Linked DNA regions of Macaca fascicularis. The protein of the gene in region 1 interacts with the protein of each later gene in a pairwise test. Links are inferred from orthologs where the notes say so. Each region holds a gene or a part of one and is shown on either strand. Other genes may lie near its edges.

Region 1 (3,451 bases):
TTGCCAGCCCAATTACTATATGGGCTGCTGAGGTGAGCACTGCCAGCCCAATTTTCTTCCTTCCTTCCTCCCTGCCTCCCTCCCTGCCTCCCTCCCTTGACTCTGTCACCCAGGCTGGAGTGCAGTGGCATGATCCCAGCTCACTGCAACCTCCACCTCCTGAGTTCAAGCAATTTTCATGCCTCAGCCTCCGGATTAGCTGGGATTACAGGCATGCAGCATCACACCTGGCTAGTTTTATTTATTTATTTATTTATTTATTTTTTTGAGCCGGAGTCTCACTCTGTCGCCCAGGCAACAGAGTGCAGTGGTGTGATCTCTGCTCACTGCAAGCTCCACCTCCCGGGTTCATGCCATTCTCCTGCCTCAGGCTCCTGAGTAGCTGGGACTATAGGCGCCCGCCACCACGCCCAGCTAATTGTTTTTTGGTTGCATTTTTAGTAGAGACGTGGTTTCACCATGTTAGCCAGGATGGTCTCCATCTCCTGACCTTGTGATCCGCCCGCCTCGGCCTCCCAAACTGTTGGGATTATAGGCATGAGCCACCCCGCCCAGCCTCATCTGGCTAGTTTTTATGTTTTTAGTAGACATGAGGTTTTGCCATGTGAGCCAGGCTGGTCTTGAACTCCTGGCCTCAGGTAATCCTTCCGCTTTGGCCTCCCAAAGTGCTGGGATTATAGAGGTGAGCCACTGTGTCCAGCCCACATTAACTAACTAAAAATTAGCCAGGCGTGGTGGTGCACACCTGTAATTCCAGCTACGCAGGAGGCTGAGGCAGGATAATCGCTTGAATCTGGGAGGTGGAGGTTGCAATGAGCCGAGATGGCACCACTGCACTCTAGCCTGGGTGACAGAGGGAGACTCTGTCTCAAAAAAAAAAAAGAAAACCGACATTAAATTAATGCATGTTTTAGATACATGCATTATTAGGTATGTTGGATTTAGTTATGGAATTGACTCTTTTTTTTTTTTTTTTTTAAATCAAGATAGGGTCTCAGTATATTGCTCCTAGCTTGGCCTCCCAAAATACTGAGATTACAGGCATGAGCCACCATGCTGGCCAGGATTAACTCCTTTTTTTTTTTTTGAGACAGAGTCTCGCTCTGTTGCCCAGGCTGGAGTGCAGTGGCGCGATCTTGGCTCACTACAACCTCTCCCTCCTGGGTTCAAGCAATTCTCCTGCCTCAGCCTCCCAAGTAGCTCAGATTATAGGCACCCACTACTACACCTGGCTAAATTTTGTACTGTTAGTAGAGATGGGATTTCACCACGTTGGCCAGGCTGGTCTTGAACTCGTGACCTCAAGTGATCCACCTTTCTCATCTTCCCATAGTGCTGAGATTATAAGTGTGAGCCACCAAGCCTGGCTGCTTTTAATCTTTTTGAGTAAAGGTTCACAGTAGGCTTTCTTTCTTTTTTTTTTTTTTTTTTGAGACAAAGCCTTGCTTTGTTGCCCAGGCTGGAGTGAAGTGGCATGATCTTGGCTCATTACACCCTCCAACTCCCAGGTACAAGCAATTCTGTCTCAGCCTCCCAAGTAGCTGGGATTAGAGAGGCGTGCCACCATACCCCGCTAATTTTTGTATTTTTAGTAGAGAATGGGGTTTCACCATGTTGACCAGGCTGTTCTCTAACTTCTGACCTCAAGTGATCTGCCCACCTCGGCCTCCCAAAGTGCTGGGATTACAGGTGTGAGCCACCGTGCTCGGCTCAGAGCAGCCTTTCATCGAGGGCTAATTTAGCCCCCCTACTCTGACATGACCCTTTTGAGGATGCCACTGAATGCCGCATCTTAAGAGTTCTCTCCACTCTGGCTGGTGGTGACATGAATTATTTCTAGCCCTGTGGAAGTTCTGGGGATTATTAGACCCACTCCTTCCTGGTGCTGCTTTCCCTGGCCTCATGCAGTTTCGTTCCATGAAAGAGAAGATCAGTACTTAGCCAAAGACCCAGGGGGTCCCCTCTGCTGATCTCTGGAGCTCTGACTCTCTGTGTCGTCCCCTCTTCACTGACATTCTGTTTCCCTCAGTTTGGGTGTGTTTGTTTTGTCATGATTGGATTGAAGTTATACATTCCAGGCAAGAAAACCACAGAGGTGACATTGAGCCCTTATCCATTTGACTAATTTTACCTACTTTTGGTCTTCTGCGTTGTTTTATTGCTGTTAAACCAAAATTGTGTTTTCAGTGGACATTTTTTTTTCATATTTTTTTTTAGATTCCAAAATGAACCTGAACGATTTCATCAGTATGGATCCCGAGGTAGGATGGGGCGCTGTCTACACACTATCCGAATTTACACATCGGTTTGGCAGTAAAAACGGTTAAACTTGGCCTCAAGATGTGGAACTGTGGAGAAATTCTAGGACATGAACAAGCTATCCCTTCATCGAGGACAGCAAACATTATGGTACAGTTGGCTTGGAATTATGTCTTTCTCTTTTAATTTGATTGAGTGGAAATCTGAGTGAATACAAATATAAATGAACAACATAAAAACTTTTGTTTTGACATGTCAAATTGAAACTTGATATAGTGTGTACTTGCTAAGATATTCCTGTGGCTCATTTGTTAAAACACGAGGACTTAAGCCAGTAATCGTTTTTGTTCAGATAGAGGTGTGGAGGTAGAGCCAGCCCCTCATGTCTGTTCTGGATGTTTTGTGTCTTTCCAGCTACACTGTAAGCTCCTTGAGGGCAGGGCCATGGCCCATTGCTCTGTGAATCTCAAATGCCCATAAAAGGTGCCCATAAAATGTTTTCTTGAACATTTCAATGTGCTGTTGTTTGGAAAGGGGTAATATTGTGAGCTGAATCAGCAATAAGTATTAGTCTTTTTGGACTATGGTATTGTTAAAAAGTTTGCAGCCCTCTCAGATTTGAGTGTTACTTGGTTTATTTATTTATGGCTTTAAATAAAATTGATTTAACATTTGTTTTGTTTTGAAGATTTTTGTGTCACCCTTGATGATCTGAAATACCTAAATATGCCTCAATTGTAGATGAGAACCAGGGCTTTAAAATATATTTATTACATGTGCCTTCTGGAAGACATCTTGATCATGTGGCTTTAATCGTATCATTCCAAATGAAAGATATTTGGCATTACACTGACATATAGTATCAGCTCTCATGTTTTCATGATTCTGCTTTAAAAATGAACAACTTCTTATAGCAAGGATATCTGACCTTTTGTTCTTAGATGAGCTTTCTACTTATTAAGAAACTGTCAGCTGGGCATGGTGGCTCATGCGTGTAATCTCAGTACTTTGGGAGACCGAGGCAGGTGGATCATGAGGTTAGGAGTTTGAGACCAGCTTGGCCAACATGGTGAAACCTTGGCTGTACTAAAAATACAAAAATTAGCTGGGTGTGGTGGTGGGCGCCTATAATCCCAGCTACTTGGGAGACTGAGGCAGAATTGCTTGAACCTGGGAGGTGGAAGTTGCAGTG
Region 2 (4,269 bases), on another chromosome or scaffold:
GTTCACCAATGATTTCACTGAAAATAGTATTTGTAGGTTTTAATTTTACCCATTCTGAGAAAGGGCTTTTATTTCTTTTTTTTATAGAGATAGGGTCTCACTATGTTGCCCAGGCTGGTCTCCAACTCCTGAGCTCAAGTGATGCTCCCACCTCTGCCTCCCAAAGTGCTGGGATTACAGGCATAAGCCACCACGTCTGGCACAAGAAAGGGTTTTTAAGAACTCCCTGCCTGGGAACGCAGGACTATCCTGTCTCACCGGTCAAGGCCCTCGGGCATGGGTTTTCATTCACCAGCATCAGCTGAGTACCCACTATGGGACTGGCCTGAACTTGGTGAGTGGGCCTCAAAGATGAACAGGAAGAGTCTCTGCTCTCAGTGAGAGGAAAACAGTCATGAGAAAGATTGAAGGAAGTGACACCTGAGCAGAGTTTCAGACAGGAACAAAAAGGGCATGCCAGGCAGACAGACAGCATGAGCAAAGGCCTCCGGTGTGAGAAGACTTGGAACCACAGAGCAGCTAAATGTCCAAGCACTGCTGGTGTGTCAGGATCTGCGAAAAGAGGATGGAGATGGGCCTGGATAGGTAGGCAGGGACCAGCTGAGAAGGGCCTATGGCTTGGCTAAGGAGTTTGGATTTGTCCTGAAGGCAGTGGGGGATTTGTCCTGAAGGCAGCCGAGAGAGGGATGTCACTGAAGATATTTCAGCAGGGGGTTATGACGTGTCCAACTACTCTGATAGCAGAGCAGTGTTATCTTCTAAACTGAAGGCCTGCAGGACAGTTATGGGCCTTACCATAGAACCAAGAAGAGCACCTATGGAATACATGGGGTTGTGGAGTATTCCACCTCAGGTTTGTTGTTGTTGTTGTTTGAGACTGGGTCTCAGTCCTGTCACCCAGCCTGGAGTGCAGTGGCGTGATCTCAGCTCACTGCTGCCTCGGACTTTGTGAGTTCAAGTGATCTTCCCACCTCAGCCTACAAGTAGGTAGGACCACAGGCATGTGCCACCGTGCCTGGATAATTTTTTGAATTTTTAGTACAAAAGAGATAGATTTTTGCCCTGTTGCCCAGGCTGGTCTCAAACTCTTGGGCTTAAGCAATCCTCCAGCCTGGGCCTCCCAAAATGCTGGGATTACAGGCGTGAGCCACCACGCCTGGCCCATCTTAGGTTAAAGAAAAACATGACTAATGAATAGTATCAGGTGTCAGGTTGCCATCGTTTCCTCAGGAAGGGTTTCTCTCCCTGGACCAGGTTAGCTCTCCTTGCCACATGATCCCGTGGCACCCAGAACATCGTCTCCTGACAACGTCACTCTTGTTCAACGCCCATCTTCTCTTCAGGACCCTAGGTTCCAAGACAGCTTGGATTTTGGTTTTTCTTACTCACTGCTGTCCCCCCAGTTGCTTGTCCAGTGCTGGCACTAGTAGATGCTCAATAAATATTTCTTGAATTAAGAACAAAAGTCACACTGGAGGGATGATCAGAGAGGCGAGCCAGGGGAATGTGATTTCCCTCCTGGTGATCACTATAAATGAAACCCAGAGGCTGGGAGAGTTTCCTAAAAGAGAAAGTTTTAATCCAGGCTCTGTCATGTGCCCACTGGATATATTTCGCTCTGGTGTGCCTTGACTCCTCGCTTATGAGGTGAGGTAGGTGGACAAAAACGATTGCTAGGTCTCTCTCTCTAACCCCAACATTTTATGCATGAAAAAATATTCCGTGCTTATGACTCTCTTCTTTCTAGGGTTGCTATGTTTCAGAAAGATATGGCCACTGGTAAATTAAAGAAGAATAACATCATGATTTTAGCCAGAGAAACTAAAGTGATCTTACAAAGATGAAAGGTATTTAAAATGAAAGGGTAGATCTGGGCTCTCTGGAATTTGTTCTGAGAAAGGAATATTTTTACAGGATGAATTAAACTGAGTTCCAACCACTTTTATAAAAAGCAAGATTTTTTTTTTTTTTTTCAGAGAGAAAGAGTCAGAGCATGAGAATCAGCCCCACCTCCCCCGCTCTCCCTCTGGATTTTGCTGAGATTTGGTGAAATATCTGAGACCTGTTCCTCTCCTCCCTGCTTCACACTTAAGGACAGAGCCCAGCAAAATTGCTGCCAGGATCCTTCCCCCATTGCCCATGTGCACAGCTGAGCTGCCGGAGGTGCTGAGTGGGAGGACTCCTCCGTGGGGGGAAAACCCAGCAAGTAAGCAGGAAGTTACTCACCGGAGGTCTCTTCCAGATGAACTGGATGGGGAACTTCTGGCTATAAAAGAGAGAGGTCTCATCCGGTGGGAACTCGGGGTCCACATAAAGAACTTTCTTTTCTAGACATTTCTTGTGAAGCTGCTCGAATGTCTTCTCTTTCACTCCGATAATAGGAAAATTGCGGCTGATGATGGCTGAATAGATGCCACTTGCGTTTCCACCCCCAGCCTCGGTGGCCTTGCTCTGAGCCGGGTGAGGAACTGGCCCTGGGGACCTTGGCTCAGCCGCTGTCCTTGGAGCCACAGATGCACTAATGACGGTCGGCATGGCAAGTGGCTTTGGAAGAAAAAGCTTTTTAAAGAAAACAAGATACAGCTACCTTCAAGGAAAGGAAGCAACTGCAAAGGGGAAGTTAGAGTAATTCTGTCATCTGAGAGAAAAGTGTCCACATCCAGTTCGAAGTTGAAAGCCCATCAGAAGGTCGTACAGGTTATGTCCATCTTAAAAACCGAGCTGTGATTCTGAAGCCATAAGTTCTCCTGAGAAATGAGTGCTAAAGGATTTCTGAAGCAATGTTGACCTGGGGTCTCCTACCAGCAGCATGCATGCCAGAGGGAGAGAGAAAGAGAGTGAGGGTTGTGTTTCAGTGGCCTGAAGATGCTTGAGCCAGAAAAACTAAAAATAGATGTGAAGAAACACTGTGAGTATGAGAGCAAGAGAGAGGAGAACCTGGCTAGGGACATCTCTGTTGCCATGAAGTGCTGGTGTTGTCAGAAAATGAAAAGGGAGTATCTGAGTAAGGTGAACACTGGAAAGAAGCTGAGAACTGCTGACATGTTATTGAGTAGGCAGTTATACAGACCACCCAACTACTGGCCAACAAATGAATGGAAAACAGTATTGCAAAAAAGCTAGTTAGGGTGAACGAGAGGTACTGAATTCTAGGAAAATATTCTGTGAATTTTAGAGAACATGATTTTTAGTCCTAAAATTTTAGGATATCAGAACATTATTCAATGTTAGATTTGGCATCTTTTCTAGAATGTTCTTGGGTCAGCGTTTATTGGAAATGTCTGCATGGAAAATGCTACTCAGCAGAGTCCTTGGTTGAGAAAATCCCTGCCTGTACCTGCAGACTTGACCTTGCCACCTCTTGTCTCTTCCCATCCCCAAAATAAACACTGGGACTGAATCTGCTATAAAAAGTGTACCTGCCGGGCGCGGGGGCTCACATCTGTAATCTCAGCACTTTGGGATGCCGAGGCGGGTGGATCACATGAGGTCAGGAGTTCGAGATCAGCCTGGCCAACAATAGTGAAACCAGTGAAAACACATAAATAAGACAGGCATGGTGGTGGGTGCCTGTAATCCCAGCTACTTGGGAGGCTGAGACAGAAGAATCGCTTGAACCCAGGAGGCAGAGGTTGGAGTGAACCCAGATTGCGCCACTGTACTCCAGCCTGGGTGACAGAACGAGACTCCATCTTAAAAAAAAAAAGTGCACCTGAGCACAGTAAATCCCCAGTGTCATCAATAGGTTCTAGTAAGCTTGTTTTGGTTAAAGTCACAGTTTACAAGAACCTATCAACGATGTTAAGTGAGGACTTACTGTATAGGTTACATGTTGACTCATTCAGCCATGCCACATTAGGCATCTGAGACAGAAGCTGGAACTGGATACTGAACCAGACTGCCTGTCAAGCCCTGGGATGTCACACCTGGTTTCAGGGCTCTTAGATGAGAGCATAAGTGGCTCTGGGGAAGGGAAGTGCCTGCCTGGCCTCCACCTTGTCTTCTACCCACAACAGCTGCTCCCTGGGCTGTAAGGAGATGACCACATTTCAAGTATGGCAGAGTGGAGGCATGTCCTAGGCTGTAGTCATGCCTGTTCCTATGCGACCAGTCTCAATAATCGAAGATTAGAGGCTATGGAAGAAGGTGGGAAGTGACAGGTAAAATAGGGAGTACTATCAGCCTCCTGATCCCTGGGATTGCGGCATTGAAGAACTCTTATGTCTGGGCTTGCAGGAACCATCAGCCTAGCCTTCTGTTCCTCCAGGA
Region 3 (4,296 bases), on another chromosome or scaffold:
GGGACACCAGGAGGAATGGCTAAAGCGGGGAGACACAGGCCCCTGTAGAGCTACTGGGGCGGTGACAGCTGGACTTGGATGCTGGCTTCATGACCGTGTTCCCCAGCGTTCCCACCTGGTGATACCCCTTCCCTGGAATCTGCGGGTGGCCCAGGACTTTCTGACCCACAGGATGCAGTAGGAATGACACCATATGACATCTGAGGCCAGGTCACACAAAGCCTGGCAGCTTGGCCTGGCCTAGTGAACGTGCTCTGGAAGGAGCCAGCTGCTACCGGAGAATCCGACTACCCTGAGACCACCAGGCTTCGGGGAAGCCCACACCAGCCACAAGGGAGGCCAGCTGGCCCTGGCTGTTCCAGCCACCCAACTGGGGGCCAGGGGTGAAGAGGCCATCCTGGACGGTCCACCCCGTTTGGCCTTCGGACGACTCCAGCCCCAGCTGCCACCTGATTACAACTGCAGAGAGACCCCAAGGCAGGGCTGCCTGGCTGAGCTGGGCGATCCATAGGCCAGGCAATAAAGGGGCACTTTAAGGCATTAAGCTTTGGAGTGTTTCGTTACACAGCAATAGTGAACAAGGATCTGGGAGTCTATTTCAAGCCCACATGGCCAGTCCACCCTGAGCCTGTTCCCCTGGGCCATAGTTCAGAAAGCAGGTGCAGGTCAGGGTTCAGGGCCAGTGTGGGCCTTAGCTCCCTTGCCTCAATATTGTTTCCAGCCCCTGTGGAGGCAGTGGTGGCATTTGGAGGGGGTCCTTGGAATCCATGCCCAAGGAAGAACTGCAGCTGCCTGGGACCCTTCCACACCCAGGAAGGACCGTCATCAAGGTAGAACTTGCAGGAGGAGGGAAGGGCAGCTGGCTTTTGAGTGGAGGAGGGACAGCTGCAGAGACAGCGTGGCAGCTCCCAGCCACCCTGGACACCAGCAACCTCGAGGGGAAGCCCCCTTGGCCCAAGCTTTGGCCCCTCCCGCGCCCCACTCTCCTCTCCCCTGGCTTCTTTCCAGGGCCCTCTCTCTGGCCTCCCGTGACTCTCTTCCTGGGCCCAGTCCCTCCCTCCCTGGGGCGCTGCTCCGCCCCCGGCCCCGCCCGCGGACCCCTGGAGTAACTTAATCTCAGGGTTGTGGTTCATCCCCAGAGGTACCCCAAACGGGCAGGCTCTTGGCTCCAACCACCTCCAGGCCCTCCCTCCCCCAGCCAAGAGGTCCTGAGTCCCACCCAAGCACTGTACCCCGGTCCGGCTGGCCCCGCCCGGCGGCCGGGGTCGACCCAGCCAGTCCTTCCTCTGCGCGACGCCCACGTGCCTGCGCGGCTCCCCTGGCACCGCGGAGACCGGCGCCCCCAGGCGCGCAGCACCCGACAGGTGGCACCTGCGAGCCCCGCCCACCTCGGCCGCCCCGCCCCGCCCCGCCCCGCCCCGCGCACCCACGGAGCATGCTCAGAGCCGCCGTCACGCGCCCGCCCGAAAGCTCCCGTCCTGCCAGGGCGCTGCCCCGGGTTGGTCCCCACTGCGGTCGGGACCCCCGCCTGTCCTGGCGCCGCCATGGACCGCATCGAGGGAGCGTCCGTGGGCCGCTGCGCCGCCTCACCCTACCTGCGGCCGCTCACGCTGCATTACCGCCAGGTGAGCCCGCGTCCCCGCGCCCTCCGCGTCCCCCGCGTCCCCGCCGGCGGCCCAGCCCACGACCCGCGTCCCGCCCACCGCCTTCTGCGCTGCGGGCCCCGCCCCGGAGCCCCGCCCCCGACTCCCGCCGAGCTCCGGGTCGGCCCCTTCTCCGCCCGCCGGATCGCGGGTTCCCCGACCCAGTGAGCCCCCAGGCCGGGGAGGGGCCGCAGGAGGGACATCTGAGGGGACACCACTCATCCTTTCAAGGAAGCATTGCTGGGCCCTATCCTTCCCGTCCCCGGAATCCGACCCTTTTGACAGTGGGACTCCTTGGTTGCCCTGGGGATCAGGGAAGGCTTCCTGGAAATGGTGGCTTTCATGCTGCAACTTGAAGGAGGAGATAGCTGGGCCGAGGAGGAAGGAGCAAGGAGTGCAGAGGGTGGAAGCAGGGAGGTAGGAGAAGGAGCTGAGTGAGAATTTGAGCGAGTCTCAAAGTGGGCTTCCTCCTTGGGGTTTTTTCCAGGGAGGGCACCTCCTTGGAGTCTCCATCTGCCTAAGCTCAGCCTTCCCCACCTCCTAGGGTGTCACATTCTCCCATGCCAGGCCCCGACACGAGGGGCTGTGTTGCCTCACTTGGCACCAGGCACATGGTAGGTTCACAAGGAATATTTTGTTTTGTTTTGTTTTTGAGACAGGGTCTTGCTCTGTTTCCCAGGCTGGAGTGCAGTGGCATGATCACAGCTCACTGTAGCCTCAACCTCCTGGGCTCAAGCGATCCTCCTGCCTCAGCCCCTGCCCCGGTAGCTGGGACCACAGGTGCACACCACCACACCCGGCTGATTTTTAAATTTTTTTGTAGAGACGAGGTCTCACTGCTGCCCAAGCTGGTCTTGAACTCCTGGCCTCGAACTCTTGGCCTCTGAAAGCATGGGGATTACAGGCATGAGGCATATGTGTTGGGTGAAGGAGCTACTGCCATCCTCTTCCCACATCCAGTGGATCACTGAGTCCCAGCCTGTCTTCCTCTAAGCCCAGCCCTGTCCGGTTTGGGCCCCACCTTTTGCTTGCATGCCTGCCTGCCCCCAGCAGATCTCCCCTCTGCCAGAGCTCCTGCATGCCATTTAGGCAAAGACTACCTTCCTGGCCACAGTCAGTCCAGCGCCCCCAGCCTCTCTCATCAGGTCAGGTGGTCCAGGTCGCCGTGCCCCTCTGCTTGCGTGCCTCCCTCAGGGGGCATCCTGTCCCCCCCATCACATCCAGGATGCTGCCCCTCACCATCCTTGTGAAGCCCTCTTAGCCCCCAGCCTGAGAGAGGCCCTGTGCCCCTCACTTTCCCTGTGGCGGGAGTCCTGTTGGCTCTCCCCAAGGCAAAGCTAAGCTGGTGGTGCTGGCGGGGGGCAGCTGGGATCAGTCGAGGTACAGCAGGTGGGGGCATGGGGTCACTGCCCTTTTCCCTGATGGCCACATGGGATGCCTGCTTGTGGCTGCACAGTCCCCACAGGGCTGGGCCTCAGGCAGCAGGTACAGGGCAGCCCAGGCAGGTGCCCTCTGTGGCCCTGGTGGCAGCACTCTCTCCCTCACTTCCAGTGAAGCGCTCAGGGCAGCCCTCGCAGCCTCAGCGTGCAGCCCACTGGCACAGCTCTGCTGAGGGGCTCTGGTAACCAGAGCTGAGCTGGTGTGGGCCGTGGCTGTGGTGGACACGGATGCAGGCTCAGGCCGGGCGGCGTCTTCTCAGGGCCAAGGGACATTGGGTTGGACCTTGGCCGCCACCCAGGGACAGCTGCAGCCCTCAGCGTTTTGCTGCATCCAGCCAGGGGAGGCCTGTGATGTCAGGCAGACCAAAGGCGGGGGACCCCCATGGCTCTGAGGTGATGGGGCTTTGTTTGCACCCAGACCTGCCCCTCTTTCCCAGGCCTCAGTGGCCTCCCTGAACCTTCCTGCACCTTGACCTGGCTGGACCTAAGGGTCTGACACACTTTTGACCTTGAGCTGAGAGGGTCCTTGAGACCTGCATGGGGTGATGTTACTCAGGGGGAAGCAGTGGTGGGGAGGGGGCATGGGCATAGCAGGCACATGGCAGGCTGTGGGCGGGGGGCTTCCCTGAAGCCTGCCCTGGCTGGGTGGCTGGCTCTGGGGTGGCTGGATGTCAGGCAGGCCTGGGCTCGCCTCCCGGGAGTGGTACCCCACGGCCTCTTGGGCATCCTGACCTGCGCGGGACACTGGCCCTCCCTTCCCTTGGAAATGGGCACTCTCCTCCCAGGACGCCTTTGCCTGCCAGCCAAGCTGAGGGCCTCTGTGCCTCTGCCTGCCCAGAATCCCTTCCCTCACTTCCGTCACCTCTTCCAGGAAGTCCTCAGGAAGGCTTCTTCCCTCTTCTGCAGTCCTGGCTGCACTTCCTGTGTCTCTGCCACTCAGGCTCTGTCCATTTCACAGCCTGGGCGGAGCCCCCAGGGTGGGGTGAGCAGCTCACCTGGGCCTCGGAGTGGCAGATGGGCTGAGCTCGCCGGAGATGGGACCCCGTGGGACCCCAGGCCCAGCCCCCAGGATGGGAGTGCATCTCAGAATCCGTCAGTTCCAGCCTCCCCCAGCAGGCCCAGCCCACACACCTGCCCACCCAGGGTGCAGGGGCCTGCCAGGGCGGCGTGCCCAGCGTGTGGAGGGGGAAGGTGGAGGGTGGCCACAGGAGAAC
Region 4 (4,237 bases), on another chromosome or scaffold:
CTGCTGAGATCTGGGTTCAGATCTCAGTTCTGACACTTAACCTTACTTAGCCAGGAATAAAATGGGAATAATTATTATACCTGCCCCTTAGGTAGGGATATACAAAATGCTTAGCAGAGTGAATAGCCCAGTAAGTTCTCAGTCAGTATTATTAAGAAAACGTACAATAAAGTATGGATTTTCAGACCCCTTGCATTAACACCACAGTGCTCCAGAGATCCTTGATACTCAAGTTGGGAGTCACTGTCCTGGAATACAAATAAAAAACATAGAAGAGCAGTCCATTCCCTCTGCAAGTGTTTATGTGGTAGCTACAGAATTCAGCACTATGCTAGGGGTACATACGCCAGTGCAACACCAAATGAGGTGACAATGCAGAGGGCAAATGCTGTAGGGAAGAAAAAAACACTGGGGCAGAGATTCAAACCAGCCTGAAAGCCACGCAGGTGTTTTAAGTTGGAAATGAAATGAGGAACCAAAAAATTCTGGTCAGGGAGTGGTCTGCTGAGTGTGGTGCTTCAGGTAGACTCACATGACAGGCTGCAGGACAAACTAGAGTGGGGGTCCACCTCCACACCTTCCTGGCCACTCAGTTCCATCCAAATGACTGCTCTTAAAAGTCAAAATCAGGTTCCATTTCTAATCTGCACTGATTCATACTGCTGGTCACGTAAATTGGTATAGGCCACACCAACACAGCACATTAACATCTTAACTAATTTCCTGACAATACTAAAATCAAATCTCTACTTTCCAGAGATTATATAAACTTGGTAAACATTTGAGCTTCAGGTCCAGTCTGACAAAACGGAATAAAAAGGGATTCATCTGCAGAAAGGTCCCAGCATTAGAAAACAAAGAGAAGGGGGAGGACAGTATGTAGGCCCTGACCTTTCTTACTGCCTCAATTCAAGTATTCAATTTCTCAACCTCAGATCCTTGCCCTCTTCCTCAAACTCAGATCCACCTCTTACTAGTTTTCAAACTCTTGTCTATTATGATTACCTTAAGCAAAGCAAGATGCATGAATAACCAGCAGTAAATCAGGTATTCAATAGTTGAAATTGTGTAATATTCTGTGACTGTGCATCTGGCCAATTTCAACTTCTCCTTCTCTCTAATTTTTTGTTTCTTTTTTTGAGGCAGGATCTCACTCTCTTGCCCCAGACTGAAGTACAGTGGTGCCATCACTGCTCACTGCAGCCTCAAACTCCTGGACTCAAGTGATCCTCCTGCTTCGGCCTCCCAGTAGCAAGCACTACAAATGAGCACCAACATGCCTGCCTAATTTTTTTTTTTTTTTTTGTAGCGATAAGGTCTCAATATGTTGCCCAGGCTGGTCTCAAACTCCTGGCCTCACCTCAAGCAATCCTCCCGCCTCTGCCTACCGAAGTGCTGAGATTTCAGTTATGAACCGCTGCCTCCTGCCCACTTAGCCTTTTCTAACACTAGAGAACTTTCAGAGTGGTTTCAATACCAACTGGACACTTCCCAGCGATTTAACCTCAGGCCAATCAAACTCCCATGCCTCCGTTTCCACAGAGAGATAATAAAAGTACCTCCTCAAAGAGTTTGTTATGAGAACTAAATGAGTTAGTATTAGTCAAGCGACTGGAACATAATAGACACAATATGTATCAGCCATTTTCATCTTTATTTGTGTTATATGGCCACCACCCAGAGATACCCAGGAGCACATATATCACATTCTTTCTACAGCAATATGTGGGCATGACTACTTCATGACCACTGAATCTCAAACAGCACAGCTTTTAATAAAGCACAGTGGTCGGATCCTACCTATTGCAACACCTCTGAGACGACTCTCACAAACCAGCCATGCCTAGCCTGAGACATTCCGAAGACCTCCTCCTGATGACCTTACTCGAGGAACTTATTCCTCTGGAAATGGAACCTAGCCTCACTTTTGGACCAGTGTGTCTCAGATACACGTCCAAACGTGTGAACCTGAATCCCAGAAGTTGGTGTGATTTTTAAAAGTTTTTCAAGTTCTTTTTCCTAAACATGTCCTAGTGGGTGACTCCACAGCATCACTTTCTTTCATGTTCTCTTTTCTATCTGGAAAGCCGGTGATAGGCGACGAAACCAGCAAAGCACCCTTTTTCCTGCTTCCCAAACATTAGCAGGTAAGCGCCCCGTGAGCCGAGATACATCAGGAGGACCTCACCCGCAAGTCATTGATCACCAGTTCTTTTCCCCTCCCGGCACCAGCAGCTGCGAAGCACGAAATGGGCTTGGAGGAAGAGACGCTGCGGTCACCTGAGGGGCAGGTGCGAGCGGGCGGTCCTGCCCGGGTGTGAGGGCGACATCCCGCGCGGCACACACGCTCACAGCCCCCAGAGGAAGACCAGAGGCACTCGAAGCATCCAGCACACCCCACACACGACATACTCACGGCACCGCACCTTCCGTCCCACCTCCCGGCAGCAGACCCCTTCCGGGACGCCGAGACGGCTGTTCCTGGAGACGCCGCAGCCCGCGAGGAGCGGCGCGCAGGGAGAGCACGCGTGCCCAGGCGGCCTCGGCCGGCGCGCCCCCGCCCCCACACTCACCTGGCCCGTGATGCCGGTGATGAGCGCCACGTTCCTGGGCTTGCCCATCTCGCCGTCCCCGGAGCCCCGGGCGCTGGAGCAGCGTGCCGGTGCGTGTGCCATGTCCCGCGGCGGGCGTGCGGTCGGCGGCAGGGCGGAGCGCGGCAGAGGGCAGGCGCGGCGCCGGCAGGAACGCGGGTGTGTGCGGCGCGAAGCGCCTCTCTGGCTGCGGGCGGGGAGGGAGAGCGCACCGCGCGACCGGCCGCCACAGTCTGACAGGGGCGCACGGGAGGCCGCGCGGGGAGGGCCGGGGGCGGGCCGAGCCGGCCGAGGCGGGCCAGACGGCCAAGCAGCGGGGCTGCGGCCTGACTGGCGCCGCGTCATTCGCGTCAACCGGCGACGCTGGGGCAGGCCCCGCCCCTCCGCTGACGGCCGCCGCGCGGGGCGGGGCCTGCCGCCGCCGCCGCCTGAGGGAAGAGGAAGAAGGCAGCGGCTTCGCGTCCCGCCTCTCGCCTGGCTGGCCATGGGCGGCCTGGACGCGGTTCCCTTGTCCTCCCCGGCGGCCTCTCGAATCTCCCAGGAATCCTAATGTCACCCGAGGATGCTGGGAGGAACGCTGAGCCGACCTCTCCATTGGGCTAAAGGTCTGAATTTGCAAACCCTGGGGTCCCAGGGCCGGGATCATCGACTTTGATGACTCCTGGAAACCTGTCGCAGCGCCTTTGGGAAGCCTGGTTTATGGTACCTGAAGGGCGCTGGCGTTACAAGGCCCCGAAACGGGGGTTGCAGTTGTGGGGGTGACTAACGAGGCTGGCTCTTGCTCTTCTGGCGTTCCCTGAGGTCGGAACCAGGAACGAGGTTCCAAATAGCTGAATTCAACGTGTTCTGTTCTGGGGACTGGCAGTGCACAAGCAAGTCGCTGGCCCCACCCGTATGCAGCATAAGGAAATGTTGAAAAGACTGCCCGGGTCAATAAACCTGGACGTGGCAAATTTCAAAGAAAGTAATTCAAACACAGGTGGGGTCCTGGCTTATATCTATTGGATTTGGCTGCCATTTGGCAGCTGCTCGTTGGACAGGGAGAGACGAGGAGGTGACTCAGAGCCTGGAGGACAGCAGGTGTGTGTGCCTAAGCAGTTGGCTGCAATCCAGGGCACAGCCGGAAACTTCCCGGTCTCCGTTGCTCTGCTTCTCTGTCCTTACTCCTCCCCCTAATCGATAACCTCAGATCATCGTTTCAAATCAGAGTTACTAGGGCTGTGCCCATTATAACATGCAAGAGTATGTATAGCAGACCTGGAACCCCAAAATCAGAAAAGCTTAGGATTAATTTAAAACCTCCCTCTCCCGCTCCGCGAAGTCCGTTAGGAATATTTCTTAGCTTTGTAGATAGACGGTCTGGTTTCACACCCGGCCTCTCTGCGTTCTATGAGGAGAATGGCTGAACGAACATCTGGTGCGCCAGTAGGATGCTGCCTCGAGTGATGAAGGGACCCTGAAGCTGAGGAAAGGGAACGCTTCCATTGAGAGGAACATGCTATAAGCTAGAAATGTCTGTGAAATATACAGCAATATGCTACAACTATATTCGTTTTCATGTAAATAGGCTTTAAATTAATGCATGAACAAATTATTTAACATTTTCCTGAAAAAATCACTGAGCGGCCGGGCGCGGTGGCTCACAC

What was found.
Region 2: the proteins of NTAQ1 (region 1) and CAPN3 interact in binary tests that used the Homo sapiens proteins (3 or more experiments, as listed by UniProt). The two-hybrid records come from large-scale screens. The link is inferred for Macaca fascicularis from reciprocal best matches to the Homo sapiens genes NTAQ1 and CAPN3.
Region 3: the proteins of NTAQ1 (region 1) and NUDT14 interact in binary tests that used the Homo sapiens proteins (3 or more experiments, as listed by UniProt). The two-hybrid records come from large-scale screens. The link is inferred for Macaca fascicularis from reciprocal best matches to the Homo sapiens genes NTAQ1 and NUDT14.
Region 4: the proteins of NTAQ1 (region 1) and GMDS interact in binary tests that used the Homo sapiens proteins (3 or more experiments, as listed by UniProt). The two-hybrid records come from large-scale screens. The link is inferred for Macaca fascicularis from reciprocal best matches to the Homo sapiens genes NTAQ1 and GMDS.

The regions. Positions count from the first base shown.
Region 1 is NC_088382.1:133,082,896-133,086,346, forward strand, and holds the end of NTAQ1 (protein N-terminal glutamine amidohydrolase), read left to right. Parts: intron 1-2,217; coding exon 2,218-2,327; 3' UTR 2,328-2,932; downstream 2,933-3,451. UniProt on the Homo sapiens protein: Mediates the side-chain deamidation of N-terminal glutamine residues to glutamate, an important step in N-end rule pathway of protein degradation.
Region 2 is NC_088381.1:18,956,355-18,960,623, reverse strand, and holds the start of CAPN3 (calpain-3), read right to left. Parts: upstream 2,840-4,269; 5' UTR 2,536-2,839; coding exon 2,227-2,535; intron 1-2,226. UniProt on the Homo sapiens protein: Calcium-regulated non-lysosomal thiol-protease. Proteolytically cleaves CTBP1 at 'His-409'. Mediates, with UTP25, the proteasome-independent degradation of p53/TP53.
Region 3 is NC_088381.1:173,357,497-173,361,792, reverse strand, and holds the start of NUDT14 (uridine diphosphate glucose pyrophosphatase NUDT14), read left to right. Parts: upstream 1-1,457; 5' UTR 1,458-1,544; coding exon 1,545-1,625; intron 1,626-4,296. UniProt on the Homo sapiens protein: Hydrolyzes UDP-glucose to glucose 1-phosphate and UMP and ADP-ribose to ribose 5-phosphate and AMP. The physiological substrate is probably UDP-glucose. Poor activity on other substrates such as ADP-glucose, CDP-glucose, GDP-glucose and GDP-mannose.
Region 4 is NC_088378.1:170,795,984-170,800,220, reverse strand, and holds the start of GMDS (GDP-mannose 4,6 dehydratase), read right to left. Parts: upstream 2,840-4,237; 5' UTR 2,676-2,839; coding exon 2,574-2,675; intron 1-2,573. UniProt on the Homo sapiens protein: Catalyzes the conversion of GDP-D-mannose to GDP-4-dehydro-6-deoxy-D-mannose.